3 linked regions of the Xenopus tropicalis genome follow. The protein of the gene in region 3 binds, or shares a complex with, the protein of the main gene of each other region. Links are inferred from orthologs where the notes say so. Each region holds a gene or a part of one and is shown on either strand. Other genes may lie near its edges. The genes, in order: mcm4, gins2 and gins3.

Evidence for each region.
Region 1: gins3 (region 3) and mcm4 share a complex: the UniProt entries of both Homo sapiens proteins name them as parts of the CMG helicase complex. The link is inferred for Xenopus tropicalis from reciprocal best matches to the Homo sapiens genes GINS3 and MCM4.
Region 2: the proteins of gins3 (region 3) and gins2 are in contact, whole or in part, in a crystal structure (PDB 2E9X), measured with the Homo sapiens proteins. The link is inferred for Xenopus tropicalis from reciprocal best matches to the Homo sapiens genes GINS3 and GINS2. Residues at the interface, in NP_073607.2 of Homo sapiens: Leu13, Gly14, Tyr117, Ser121, Leu124, Asn131, Ala132, Ser135, Gln136, Leu138, Leu139, Gln140, Phe142, Ile143, Phe146, Arg147, Ile149, Met150, Asp151, Ser153, Gln154, Ala156, Met171, Gly174, Leu175, Thr178, Gly179, Gly182, Leu183, Asp185; in NP_057179.1 of Homo sapiens: Asp2, Ala3, Ala4, Glu7, Met93, Glu94, Lys97, Asn101, Trp121, Ile125, Arg129, Val130, Ala132, Asp133, Val136, Arg137, Gln139, Met151, Thr155, Ser156, Thr158, Phe159, Leu160, Gln162, Ala163, His166, Met167, Lys169, Leu170, Arg171.

What each region holds. Positions count from the first base shown.
Region 1 is NC_030682.2:113,241,203-113,245,482, reverse strand, and holds part of mcm4 (DNA replication licensing factor mcm4), read right to left. Parts: coding exon 4,220-4,280; intron 3,725-4,219; coding exon 3,560-3,724; intron 2,921-3,559; coding exon 2,757-2,920; intron 2,675-2,756; coding exon 2,573-2,674; intron 2,446-2,572; coding exon 2,350-2,445; intron 2,261-2,349; coding exon 2,165-2,260; intron 2,004-2,164; coding exon 1,865-2,003; intron 1,678-1,864; coding exon 1,457-1,677; intron 1,314-1,456; coding exon 1,193-1,313; intron 230-1,192; coding exon 1-229. UniProt on the Homo sapiens protein: Acts as a component of the MCM2-7 complex (MCM complex) which is the replicative helicase essential for 'once per cell cycle' DNA replication initiation and elongation in eukaryotic cells.
Region 2 is NC_030680.2:64,843,450-64,848,505, forward strand, and holds the start of gins2 (DNA replication complex GINS protein PSF2), read left to right. Parts: upstream 1-2,088; 5' UTR 2,089-2,089; coding exon 2,090-2,179; intron 2,180-4,050; coding exon 4,051-4,165; intron 4,166-4,473; coding exon 4,474-4,573; intron 4,574-5,056. Other genes in the region: cfap157 (cilia- and flagella-associated protein 157), read right to left, coding at 442-713, 1,729-1,874. UniProt on the Homo sapiens protein: Required for correct functioning of the GINS complex, a complex that plays an essential role in the initiation of DNA replication, and progression of DNA replication forks.
Region 3 is NC_030680.2:75,817,657-75,822,720, reverse strand, and holds the start of gins3 (DNA replication complex GINS protein PSF3), read right to left. Parts: upstream 3,295-5,064; 5' UTR 3,291-3,294; coding exon 3,123-3,290; intron 401-3,122; coding exon 167-400; intron 1-166. UniProt on the Homo sapiens protein: Required for correct functioning of the GINS complex, a complex that plays an essential role in the initiation of DNA replication, and progression of DNA replication forks.

The sequences.
Region 1 (4,280 bases), on a different chromosome or scaffold from region 3:
GGTGCAAGAGCTGAAGCAAGCCTCTCATAGATGTCTGGTTTTGCTGCAAGTTCTTTTAACATTGCAACCCTTTCTTCAGTGAACATCTTCTGTTCTGTGTCCTCATCAATACCATGCAACCGCTTTGCATCAGTTTTTCGGTAATGAATAACATCAATGTGAGTTTTGTAAACAGACTTTACATTTCGAACTCTAGGGTTAACTCGAATTGGGACAGCTCTGTAAATACCTGGAGAAATAAAACATTGAAGTTGCTAAATAATTAGTTATTTCCACTGTGACCAAGCAGTTTAGTGCTGTTAAAACAAACTGCTTGCTAGTTAGTACTCAACACAAATGTGATTATTTTGCTTTAGTAGAACATCTTTTTCTTCTGCTTTCTAGGTTGCCCAGCATAACATGAAGAAAGCCAAAAATATGAAGTCTATGTAACAAGTCCTTGATAGTCAGCACCATAAAATCAAGAGCAATTAAAAGTTTATCAAGAAGCCTTGTGGCAAACTAGCAAGTTTGAATATGAATGGTGTTTTCCTCCCTAAGCAATTTACAGATCAGAGCGATATAGAACCGTGGGATCTCCACCCATTGCATAATGAATAAAGATGCAATAATAATTTTAAGCAACTTTGTTATTTACATTATAAATTGTCAATGTTTTTAAAAAGGCATCAGCAATTGAAAGCAGTTCTCTCTTTTCCTTTCTTTTTCCAGTTCTGAATCTTAAAGGGAAAGGAAAGATTAGTATAGAGTTAACCACTATTTAAAGCCACACCTATAGTGATGCCATCTGTCCTTTCTATTTTCCACTATTTTAAGCTCCTTTTCTTTGCAATCCCCACATTGTAGCCAAAACTGCTCACTTCATCTAGAAAAATGCAACAAATCATTTAAGGCAAGTAACCTGCCAGGCATGTGAATTCACAGATTACCCACAATTTATTTTGATCATCATGGGTGACCTGCAATATTGGCCAGCAGGGAAGTCCCCCCAGAAAAAAAAAAAAAAAAAGTAGAAACTGCCTAGCATGACATCAGAGTTACCACTTATTTGGTGCACTAGATGTTACTGGAACTTAAATAAGAGTGGATGAAATAAGCTTCTTAAAATAAGATGTAAAGAAATTATAACATTTGAATATGTGGCACTATTAAGACTGTTGCAAAATATGTTCTGCAGTACAAATGAACATACCTGTGACATTCACTCTATCACCAGGCTGTACCTTATCCACCAAGTCATTATGACCATAGAGAATAGTTGTATGAGGGGTCTGACCAGCAGGCATATCTTCTGGAGACTCTTGCAGTTTAATCTAGGAGTATAGTATAATGAGAATCTACTGCATAAGAAATTATTTTCAAAACATTGTGGCACATCCATAGAAGATATGCAAAATGCATATATTCCATCTTCACAAAATATGTGGTTAGCAAATGTTATGAGATAAAAACTTACCATTTGCTTGTCTGAGAACATAGAGCGATTGTGAATAAGAGCCATGCTGTGTGTGGTGTTGCAGTGTTTGCAGACTGATGGCTCTGAAATGCGACCACGATCAATCTCCACTCTAGTAGTAAAGGCACACACTTGACATTTAAAAAATGCTTCCTGCATCTCTGGGATGATTTGAGAAGTTCTGATAACCATGCCACTAATTGTGATAAGCTGATCAATATCTAGGGTGAAAAAAAAAAAGTGTCATTAGCCTAACTTATGTTTATAAAAGCAACCTGACAACCATGAAAATAAAGTCCAATTTCAGATGCTGTTCGTTTCTCACTCAATTGATAGGAAGCAACAGTGGAACACTAAAACTAGTCTAAGACTAGACATGACTCAACAACATTGAACATATTTTATTACCTTCTGGATTTAAGCTTCTCATATTTCTAGTTTTCAATGCATTATAGGGTCTAACTTGAATCTGGTGCTCTAAAATGGAGTCAGGGTACCGCTCAAAGAAAATCTCATTAGCAGCCATATCAAATGTTGGAATAACTTCCTAAGGGGGAAAAAAAAAAAAAAAACAAACAAATTAAGAGCTTTTTCTGATTTTTTTTTTTTTTTTTTTACATATATTAACTTCACAACAGGCTGAAAATCATGGCTTCTAAAAACATATGTAATTATTAATTTTCCTGAAAGAACAGTAACATAAATTACCTGTGGGTAGCAAACCAGCTGCCTGTAAAGATCCTGATCAAAGCTTCTGAGATGGTCACAGTCAACATTGAGAAATGGCTCACCTACTACATTTATCTAAAGGGACAGAAAATAAAATTTAGGATTTCTTAGGTTTACTGGAAGAAAAATACTACATTTTTTTTTTTTTTTAAAAACACACATACCTCTTCAAGTCGCTGCATATATATAGGCTCATTCAGATCCAGTCCTACATTTTCCTCTTCTTTAGCTAAAGGATCAATGAATCGCTGAACAAAACGCTAAATCATAGGAAGAGATACTTAAAGGTTAGAAAACGGCACTGAAATTACAACTCAAAATTCTAATTGATCCAATTTAAAAAAAAAATTAAAAACATGAAAATGTAAGGACTGGCCAGTTGTTTACCTGAAACTTTTCTTTGCAAGTGGCAACATTGACATCAGTTCCCCAGATCACCAGCTTCTGTCCCAAAGATTGCTCACTCGTAACCAGCTCCTCTGCAGCAGGCTTGAAAAAGCATAATTAGAATTATTATGTTGACCAAATACTCATTTTGTAAACAACCTGTTATGGAGCTTAGGATACTTACTTGGTCTGAATGTAAATCCACCTGCTTAACTTTGCGTGCTGATCCCAAGTCAGGTCTCTGTCGAGCAGGAGTCCCTCGGATACCACTTCTAGGGGTACCCTCAACTCTTGAGCTAGGGGTGCCATAAGTGAGAGGTGAGCTGAGATCAAGCTCACTTTGAAGGGCTGTAAGCAAAATACATTTGGAAAAGTTAGAAATCATATCTTTAATGGGTTTACACTTTTTACAATTCTTAGTAAAACACCTTAGTTACTCATGTGAGCTCTCTACTAAATCTTATTCAACAAATCTAGTGAAACAGGGATCAACCATAGCCATACAATAAAATAAATGATAATACTAGAATTGTGGTTACTTTTGAAGGCGGTACTTTTCATAGGAGTAGTAGCACATAGCCTTTTTGTACCCAATGAAGTCTTAGTTAGTATATAATTATAAACTGGTAAAAACCAGCAGCAGAAAACAGGCATTTTCTAACAAAATATCTAAAAATGGTTCAGTATTTTCTAATCAACAGACTAAGTGATTGTCATTAGTAAATACTTTGAGGGCATTTTCAATTCATAGTATCACTGGCCCTTTAATGTCATTAGGGCACATCCAGTAGCAGTTTTTGGAATTTAGTAAAAAAAAAAAAAAAAAAACACTTTTACTAATTTTTTTTTTTTAATTATTATAGGGACACCAAGTATACAAAAACTCAGATTTGGGGAGCAAGAAACCCCCCCCCACAAATAAATACAATGTTGTTATAATGGGAACCTGCATGCTATGGTAATTGAGGAAAAATGTGTTCAGCATACCAGAATGCCTTGATGGTGCAGGGCTAGAAAACATAAGCTCTTGCCCGCTGGGGCTCTGAAGGTCCCCTGAAGGTGAGGTTGGCATGGGCAGAAGTTCGCCAATAGATGTGGAATCTTCTGTCCGACGTCTCTGCGATGGAGGAGACTGCACTTCCTCTCCATGAGCTGCAAAACATTGGGAACACAGGGAACAGTCACATAAATATAATATTGTATTGTCATTGTATGTATTATCAAAAAAAAAAAAAAAAAAAAAAAAAAAAAAGGGATTTCCAACAGCACCAGGCCATGTATATATCCAGAAAATATATCCTAATAGGTTTATTTTTCTGTGGTATTAACGGTGTGTGTGAAAGTCTATAGGGGATCATGATAATTTCACCATGGTAGTTATGGTATAGACTGAATGGAGGCCCCCATTAGAGCATACAAAAGTGATTTAAAGGAAGGATATCCCAGTTTCCAAATGTGGTGCTTGGTTGTCTGCTAGGTGCGTCACCAAGGGGTATACAACTTGCACTTCACTATATAAATTGCTTGTCTCCATCTCTCCCAAAGATGTGTTTTCTTACCACCCACACTGGCTGCCATCTTTCCCATATACACACACCTATGTTCCTTATTAACACATTACAGGTAAAGGTAAAGCAAGTCACTTACGAGTTGGAGGGTTACTGCCTCGCCCACGTTTGTTCCTTCTGCGGCTTGGTGTAGATGTTGG
Region 2 (5,056 bases), about 11 Mb from region 3:
GTAGAAATGAGAAAGCAGCATTAAGGTCCCCATAAACGGGCCGATAGTAGCTGCCGATATCGATCCCTTGGACCGATTCGGCAGCTAATCGGCCCGTGTATGGGCAGAACCGAGCGGCCTGGCTGACCGATATCTGGCCTGAAATTGGCCAGATCTCGATCGGCCAGGTTAGAAAATCCAGTCGGATCGGGGACCGCATCAGCTCGTTGATGCGGTCCCCGAACTGACTGCCCCATGGCCGCAAATGTAATTCGATCGTTTGGCCCCAGGGCCAAAGGATCGGATTATTTTTTATTTTAGCTACTTGCTACCCGATATCGCCCACCCGTAGGTGGGGATATCAGGTGAAGATCCGCTCGCTTGGCGATGGGCTGCAAGGGACAAACAGATACAAACAGATAAGGTACAGGATAATGTGGATCAAAGTAAGTGTACTGTTACCTAGAAGCATATTCTCTGAGGTGAGGCGCTCCTTGGTGTCTTGCAATTCATGTCGCACCTGAGTCAGCTGGGACTCATACGCATCCTTTTCTGCATCCTTGGCCTGCTGGAGCCCCAAGAGCTGGTCATTCAGGTCAGCAATTTCATCCATGCGTTGGTTTAGGGTACGTTTTAGGAAAGAGACAATCTCCTTTTTGTCATTAGACAACTGCTCATATTGAGCCTCCTTCAATTGCTCCTTTGCACAGATTTCATCCCATTTACTCTGGTACCTAAGAATATGATAAATACATTGTATAGCACCACGAAATTCTACACAACAACCTAGAAGAGTACACACACACAAGACAAATTCACTTACCGAGGTGCAGTAAACAAAGTTAAGGTTACAGCACAATCACCATGTTTTTTGAACAATGCAACATATTTTCCCAGAATTCAGGATCATTGTTGACCCACTCAGACGATTCTCTTGTCTGATTAACCAACATGGATGCAACTGAACCTAATGAAAACGTATCTTGTCATCTAAGTCTGGTACTACTCCCCCCTTTACTATATCTACTGATGGCACTCTCATTAACCCTGTCAACTCAGTTTGGGGATAGTTTTTAACTCTTCCTCTTCTTTTCTGTCCATATTAACACAACTGTCAAAACCTGTCACTTTTTCTTATACAATATTACCAAAATCTGTCCCTTTCTCACACAAGTAACAGCTAAGATGCCCATGCATGCTCTCACCCTATCCTGACTAGACTACTGTAACCTGCTACTAGCTGGGGAGGAGCAGTCGGGCAGGGGGAGCACAGGTAAGGGACAGGTCTGGGCCGCCGGGGCCCACCGTGATTTCTCCCGGTGTCCCGGCGGCCCAGCCGGACCTGCTCCTGGGTCCCAAACGAAGAGGAAATACAACATGCCAGAGGGGGGTTGGGACGGTGATTCTATTACAGTCAAAGAGAACTAATAAAATACTACTACAAAAAAATGATTTCCCCTTTAATGTGCGCCCCCCAGTGATTGCGCCCTAGGCAGGCACCTACTCTACCTACCCCTAGTTCCGGCCCAAGACCATCAGAAAACATATTTCCGATGGTTTTAGGAATGATTTTATGGTTGGGGGGTCACCACAACATGAGGAACTGTATTAAAGTGCGGGGCATTAGGAAGGTTGGGAGCCACTGCCTTAAACCCTTGTCCCCTCACGCTAATCACCTTGCACTGGGTTTTTAATGTAGCACCAGACCCATCCCATGAGTTACACATTTGGGTAAGAAATAGAACCCACCGTTCCAGCCGTTTCTCCAGATCTCGGATCTGCACTGTATAAAAATCTTTCGTTTGCTCTGTAACGCCCTCCGATGCGACCCTTACAGTCTCTTTCTCCTTTGTCTTGGCGCTGGGCCCTCGCTTACCTTTCTTTTTGGGAGGCATCCTGTATGGTACCGGCCGCAACTACACCCAGGCGCCCCCAGATTTCTGTTCTACACCTGCGGCACCCACTATGGTTACAGCGTCCCGTTTCTAGGCAACCCCACACCGCCAGCCCTCAACATTCCGCCCATGGGCGGGGCTTCTGTGCGTAGAGATTTCCTCTGCTCCGGCAGAAGCCCCGCCCCTTCCTATCGCTGATAGCGGGAGATTCAGTCATGGATGCCTCCGAGGTCGAGTTCTTGGCTGAAAAGGAGCAAGTGACTGTCATTCCCAACTTTAGTCTGGACAAGGTCTATCTTATTGGGGTGAGCAAAAGCGAACTTGTCAGGCTTCCATGCTTTGTAATAAGCAGTTTAGTAACGAAAGAGAAACATGGTGCTAGTTAGTCTTAAATTATATAGTGAGATAGAAGTATATGGGCCCCTGTATACTTGTTATAGATTATATAGAGCTGGGGTATGGGCCCCTGTATACTTGTTATAGATTATATAGAGCCGGGGTATGGGCCCCTGTATACTTGTTATAGATTATATAGAGCTGGGGTATGGGCCCGTGTATACTTGTTATAGATTATATAGAGCCGGGGTATGGGCCCGTGTATACTTGTTATAGATTATATAGAGCCGGGGTATGGGCCCGTGTATACTTGTTATAGATTATATAGAGCTGGGATATGGGCCCGTGTATACTTGTTATAGATTATATAGAGCTGGGATATGGGCCCGTGTATACTTGTTATAGATTATATAGAGCTGGGATATGGGCCCGTGTATACTTGTTATAGATTATATAGAGCTGGGATATGGGCCCGTGTATACTTGTTATAGATTATATAGAGCCGGGGTATGGGCCCCTGTATACTTGTTATAGATTATGTAGAGCCGGGGTATGGGCCCCTGTATACTTGTTATAGATTATGTAGAGCCGGGGTATGGGCCCGTGTATACTTGTTATAGATTATATAGAGCCGGGGTATGGGCCCGTGTATACTTGTTATAGATTATATAGAGCCGGGGTATGGGCCCCTGTATACTTGTTATAGATTATATAGAGCCGGGATATGGGCCCCTGTATACTTGTTATAGATTATATAGAGCCGGGGTATGGGCCCGTGTATACTTGTTATAGATTATATAGAGCCGGGGTATGGGCCCGTGTATACTTGTTATAGATTATATAGAGCCGGGGTATGGGCCCGTGTATACTTGTTATAGATTATATAGAGCCGGGGTATGGGCCCCTGTATACTTGTTATAGATTATATAGAGCCGGGGTATGGGCCCGTGTATACTTGTTATAGATTATATAGAGCCGGGGTATGGGCCCGTGTATACTTGTTATAGATTATATAGAGTCGGGATATGGGCCCGTGTATACTTGTTATAGATTATATAGAGTCGGGATATGGGCCCGTGTATACTTGTTATAGATTATATAGAGCCGGGGTATGGGCCCGTGTATACTTGTTATAGATTATATAGAGTCGGGATATGGGCCCGTGTATACTTGTTATAGATTATATAGAGTCGGGATATGGGCCCGTGTATACTTGTTATAGATTATATAGAGTCGGGATATGGGCCCGTGTATACTTGTTATAGATTATATAGAGCCGGGGTATGGGCCCGTGTATACTTGTTATAGATTATATAGAGCTGGGGTATGGGCCCGTGTATACTTGTTATAGATTATATGGTTCTACTATATGTAGGTATACTGTAGATTATACAGGGTGATTCAAGATGGTCCCACTTTATGGATGCAATATGTTCCAGTTGTTAAACACAAAATTTGGTCCAGTCTCTAGGAGTCCCAACTCAGTGCCTGAGGTGGGGCAGGCAATGTGTGATTGGCAGCTGATATTTTTAAACATCTTTATATCATGTATGGATGTTTTGATCAAAAAATAATTTGGGTTTACTATTGTTCAGCTTTTTATGTCTGGGTGACATGTCCCTTTAAGTCAGTCTGCGGTTGTTATATAGCTATCCTATATAATGGCAATCCTTCCCTATACTTATTTAAATAAAAACTTTGTTGCAGATATTCATTCCTTTTCTAATATTCTGATACCTCTATAACTCTCTCATCTCTTTTAGTTTTTGTTTCTTCTTATACAGTAGTATAACAGTAGTTTAGTGTACTGCTGCTTAACGGATCTCTTTTACCTGAACAGGGTGACTTGGGTCCCTTTAATCCTGGTTTACCTGTAGAGGTTCCTCTATGGTTGGCCATCAACCTTAAACAAAGGCAGAAATGTCGCATTGTCCCTCCACAGTGGATGGATGTCGGTAAGTAGGTTAACTGTTGAAAGCTTTGTTGCTTTTTTTTATGGCATGAAATTGCACTGACTTATTGGGTTACAGTTATAACAAACTTAGAGATAATGACTTGTGATGGCATTAAACCAATAGTAACCAGTGCAGCAAATTAGCATTTACTGCAAACCACCTCCAAATTGTCTTTGACTCTCTCCCTGCCACTAATCTGGGCCCTCCTAGTGGAGCCACCCAGGCAGGATGGGAACCTATGGTTTATAAGAAACATGTTAGGATTTCTGTCTGGGTTGTTTATTCTTTTTTTTTTTTTCTTTATCTAGATAAACTAGAGGCTATCAAAGATCAAGAACGCAGAGAGGATACATTTACTCCAATGCCAAGTCCATATTATATGGAACTTACTAAACTATTGTTAAATCAGTAAGTAAATCAAAATGAAAAACATGTTGTCTATGCCACCAAAGTATAAGGACTCTTGATATTGATACCCAGTAACAGAAAAGGAGATGAAGTTCTTCATGTATCAGTTACTGAGAGGTACAACACATGGGGGCAGATTTAGCAAAATGTGAATTAGAGCTCAACACAGAAAAATTCACTTACTTTCTGTTCATTCCTATTGGATTACATATTTATCGATGTGTGAAAGTTCGCTTCTAAAAATCCCATAGCAATGATTAGAAAGTGGGTGAATTTTCTGTGATAAATCTGCCCCATGGTGGAGGGGGAATGGGTAAATCCTCCAGACAGGTTCCAAAGGGCCTGGAAGTCTGCCACAGGCAAGCTGATATAGCTTTTAACTTTTATGTTTTTTATCTGTAACATATGTTCTAGCTAATTCCTGAAGAGCAGATGGAGAAAGAATTTGTCTTTCATACCCCACATCCCTTAAATAACCCCTGC
Region 3 (5,064 bases):
GAAGTCAAAACTCCTAAAGTCTGGGTCCTGAATTGAACGGCTTTGCACTGAAGGGCACTTTCATGTTGCTTTGAATAGTACTGTGCTACCTAAGGAAGAAAATATTTTCATGCTGCAGCTAAATTTTAACATAAACTTGAAATAATTACCACAATGCAATAATTACCTGCAATATTGTCTTTGCAATTTCTGGGTTTTCTGGACTGTCAAAGTTGAGAAGTTGGGAGCCAAAGCCATAATAATGAGGTCCCATCTTGTGCAGGTCCACGACATTGGCATCAGCACTGAAAACAGTTCGCCAGCCTTCTCGGTAAATCTTTGGTAGCTCTACCGAAAGTACACGCCGTTTGTTGTCATAAAGACCTTTCGCCAGCCATAATGGAAGTTCCATTTTGCTACCCTAACAAAAAAGGAATTATTACAGTAATTAAGTTCAGTGGTCATTATGTATAACACCTGCTTGGATACAAAAGATGAAAACTGGTATTTTAAGCAAGGGAGGCTTAATATTTCATTATGTAGTACTGAATAAGGCAATTACATGGTAGGGTACACACTTCAAGCTTCAAGAGAAAATTAAAAACCAATTTTGCACACACTGAAGGAAAAATGTCTGCATTTTAGTGAAAAGAGACACGTTGCATTACACGGTTTGTACAAAGTATGCATAAGCTGACGCGCCCGTCAAGGCAGTGTCCTTGCGTCAGTCCTAACCTAGCGAAAAAGAGAGTATATTTTCTTTGGTGGAAGAAAGACCATACCTGCTTTTCTCTTTATATGGCATGACCTATTCCAAAGAAACCATTCCGCAATTAAGCTTATAAACACCTTCTTGCAAAAAAAAAAAAAACTGCAAGGCTATCCTTAAAGGGGCGAGGTTGGGAGAGCAAGCATTCAATTAGGGAATAGCCACTTCCCCTTACCACACAAATATATACAAAAAAATACAGCTCATCCCATGAATCAATCCAAACTAATTGGGTGCACACAGGTGAGTGGCTTGTATTATATACTATACACATTACCCAGGCACTCCATTATATAGCTTTGGTTTAGTTTTTAATTTTCTCTTGAAGCTATATAATGGAGTGCTGGAGTAATGTATATAGTATATAATATAAGCCAAGCCACTCACCTATGTGCCCCCAATTGGTTTTGATTGATTCATGGGATGAGTTGCATTTTTATAATATATATATATATATATATACATACATATACACATAAAGATAATTAGATAGATAGAGGTGCCATTTGCAATACTTTACTAGTACCAAAATGTTTCCATTACTTCATTACTTCAGATCAAATATTCTAATGATGTTCTTGAATGTGATTCACTTGTAAATGACAATTTTTTACACCAATGTCAAATCTAAATATACTATTTAACAGACTTTTCCTCATATCCTTCTGGTCTATGTACAGCCTGTTATGCACAACTGTGCTGGACCAATCTGTTCTCATTTATAAAACAACAACATTTTTAATTAACGTATAATGATATGTTGCTTTCAATTACATTTTCTTTGACATTTTTCCCTGTCCATTACGGAAATGGCAAACAAGGAGTTTTGTTACCCGTGGGTAACAATGTGGGGATCATGGCATGTAAATCACTTGAAAAGTTCAGGCATAAAAAAAAGCTGTATCACCGCATATAAACTATTTCAAGTGAAGGGAAAGGTAATTTCAGCAGATTTGTCATTTGTATGTAGCACAGATTCCCCACAGGCAACAAACCTTGTGTGCCAGTGCCCCTAAGGGGAAAAATAAGCATACATTAACTGGGTGCAAGCTATCCTTTTCGTTCTTTCTTTGCACAGCTTGCACTTATGCAGTAGAGTGAAAAGCTAAACTTTAACAAAAAAATGTTGCTTTTTCACTGTACTGCACATGTATTGGTCCCAGGATCGAGAAGAAAGAAGACAGGAGGAAGAGGATCGCTCGCAGTTACCCTGGCCCAGTTCTGCTTACAGGATTACTGGCCTGGGGTATCAGATAGTGATTACAGTCACTGGGGGTGCCTAGTATTTTGGCAACTCCCAGTAATTGTACCTTTACTACATCATAACCCCTTCTGGCTTCTTGTACTGGGTGCCCCAGACCAATTAGAAATTACCCAAATGTCCAATAGTTCTTAAGCCAAGAAACACTATTTAGAGCATTTTTTGGCTACAGAGTACCTTTACTGACACTGTCATGTCTACGGGAGGCAATAATTTGAAGTTATTTTTAGCCAGACAAAAAGTGCACCATGTACCAACAGCACTAAGACTGATGGCAAACCAGTTTACCCAGTCAGTGGAGAAACACTTGTCCATGCCACCTGCCTGTCACAGAACGTACAGGAGGATTTCAACCCATGGCCCAAGGTAAACCATTCTAAAACTGCATGCACTCAGTTGGAACACTCACTTCTCAGTTCTTGTGTTTTTCTGGAAGCACGGTCTCTTGTCTCCGCTTTAGCACAATAATTCCCCCCAGGCACACAGCATCTGTACTTAGTTTGCCGAAATGTGAGAATGAACTTTATTGGCCTACATAGAGTCCTAACCCAACTGAACACCTGAGGTTAACTGCAGGACAGTCTGTAACCCGGGGCTCCCCAACCTGTTTTTACCCATGAGCCACAGTCAAATGTAGTAACAGCTGGGGAGCATCCCTGGGGTACCGAATAAGAGCTGTGATTGGCTATTTGGTAGCCCCAATGTAGATTGGTAGCCTACAGGAGACTCTTCTGGCAGTAAACCTGGTTTTTGTGCAACCAAATCTTGCTTCCAATTTAAAAAAAGCACCTGCTTAAGGCCACTGGGAGCAACATCCAAGGGGTTGGCGAGTGACATGTTGCTCATGAGCCTCTGGCTGGGGATCACTGCTGTAAGCCATGCCTGTTTGCCCAGCATCAGTGCCCAAGCTCATTAATGCTGTTGTGGCTACACAGAACTTGACTATAATAGAACTGCTAAAGTAAACTCATTTTCAAAGGCAACACATTAAAACGCCCAGTGTTAATCCAATGGAATGAAAGGTAAATTTGCAGGAGCACAATGATGGATTGCCCATATGAATCCATGACCACCCAGAAAAGCTACATTTATTATTGCATCACCCAAAGTCACCTCAGGGATGCTGTCGCTGTCACCACCTTTCTCTAGGAAGCCGAGCCGAGGGAAGCCGCTCTCTACACGGCAAGGTAATTTTTCCTGTGACATTAACAAATCTTCTATGGAAAGGAAATTCTCCTCCCTGCCCAAGCCGGGCTCAACTGGCATGTAGGGTTCCCACATTATGAATGATATCCTCTTCTACCAATCTGCAAAGGGAACCAGCTAGCGAAAATGGCTGCAGCACCACAAATTGAATGAATCTCCCGCGTTGCTGCGGTCCTGCCCACTACCGCGTCTCAAGCCTCGTTTTCATAGTGTCATGTATTCTGCTGTAGTCTGAACTATCGTGAAATCTTGTGGTTGTTTGGTTTTGATTCAATTAGTGTTTGTTTTCGGCTTGGTAATCTGATTAATAACATCATTGTTTAAGTTGTGTAATACAATATTATTTTAGCCTTATAATATTCCTTAGTTTGGAGGAATGAGTTTGCAATTGCAGTCGTCTGAGCCTTGCTAGTACTACGATGATGCAGCAGTGAGTGTTAAGGAGTGATCATTTCCTTAACCAGGACTGCGTTTGAGATCATAATTCTATCTCCTGTGGAGCTGAGAGACACAGCTTTAATTAGGGTTGCTACCGTTTATGGAAAAACATACAGGCTTTCCTATATAACAATGGCTCAAAGCCACATTTTTACCTGCTAGTCCGTATAATAGAGGTTGTCAGACTTTTTCAGTTTAAGCCCGAGTTGGAGGTTCAACCTTTTTCTCTGCATAGCCCCGATAATATCTTAGACAGCAAATACGTTGTTACCTTGAATCGGCAAAATAAACGTTCACCCCATGCCTCATCTTAATTGGCCTTCAGGGTCTGCCCACCACTGCCTCAAGCCACCCCAGAAGGGCCAGCTGCACAATTGTTGAAACCTTTGGTATACATGAATCTTCACAAATGATAAGGACATTGTCACGATCACGCCACTCTTAGACGCACGTGACACTGGGATGAGGAAACGGGGTTACACTCAGTAAGGTTACCTAAGGTTAGACTAACATCAGACACCCCCAAACACACCACCGCCCCAAATAAATATTCAGTGCTCTCTACAACAGGTACTATTTCCCAATACACAACTGTATCACACACTCTCACTGTAGTTAGGGTTAGTGTCTACTAATTCAACAAGCACTCTAGCAGCCAAAAGGTTAAATTACAGTCAAACATACTCTCCTGCTAGCAGTCAACTAGTTAATTAGCCTATACACAGACAACTTTCCTTCTACACACAGACAAGCTGTTAATACAGTTAGCCCCAAGCGTTCATACAAGCTACGTGAAATCTTTTTAGAGCAACCGGACAAAACTTATTAAATTTTATATTTAATATTACAAGAGTAAACAGTACATATTAAAAGATATTACAAAAAGAGACATACACGTAAAATTGCAAACAGTAAATAAAATAAAAGGGAATAAAACACAGAAACCCTATTTACTTTACCAAGTTAGGAATTTCCTTTGTGTCCTCCTGAGGCAAGAGTTTGGAAACCTGAGCCCACACCCCAACAGAATTGGGACCTCAGGTATGAGCTGTTAGTAACTGGGTCTTTTGCCCTTTTATCCCCTGCTTGGACCCTTCCTCATTACCGCATGCATGAGGGGGGAGTGCCCAGGAACTTATCACTTATGACCTCCTGTAGAGGACTGCAATTCTCAGGCCAGTTTCTTGTCATATAATATTGGCACTTGACAGTATCCAATATTATTATGAAAATATGGGCTTGCTTTAACCCATATGTGGGTGATCAGAAGGATACCAAACATGAAAACTATCCCCCCTAACTGGTGGGTATTGGCTGGCCTTGTTTGGTATTTTTAGAAAGCATGTGACCTTATAACCAATATGTGATTTATGAGGATGTGAACCCTAAAGCAAAGGAGATATGGATCCCT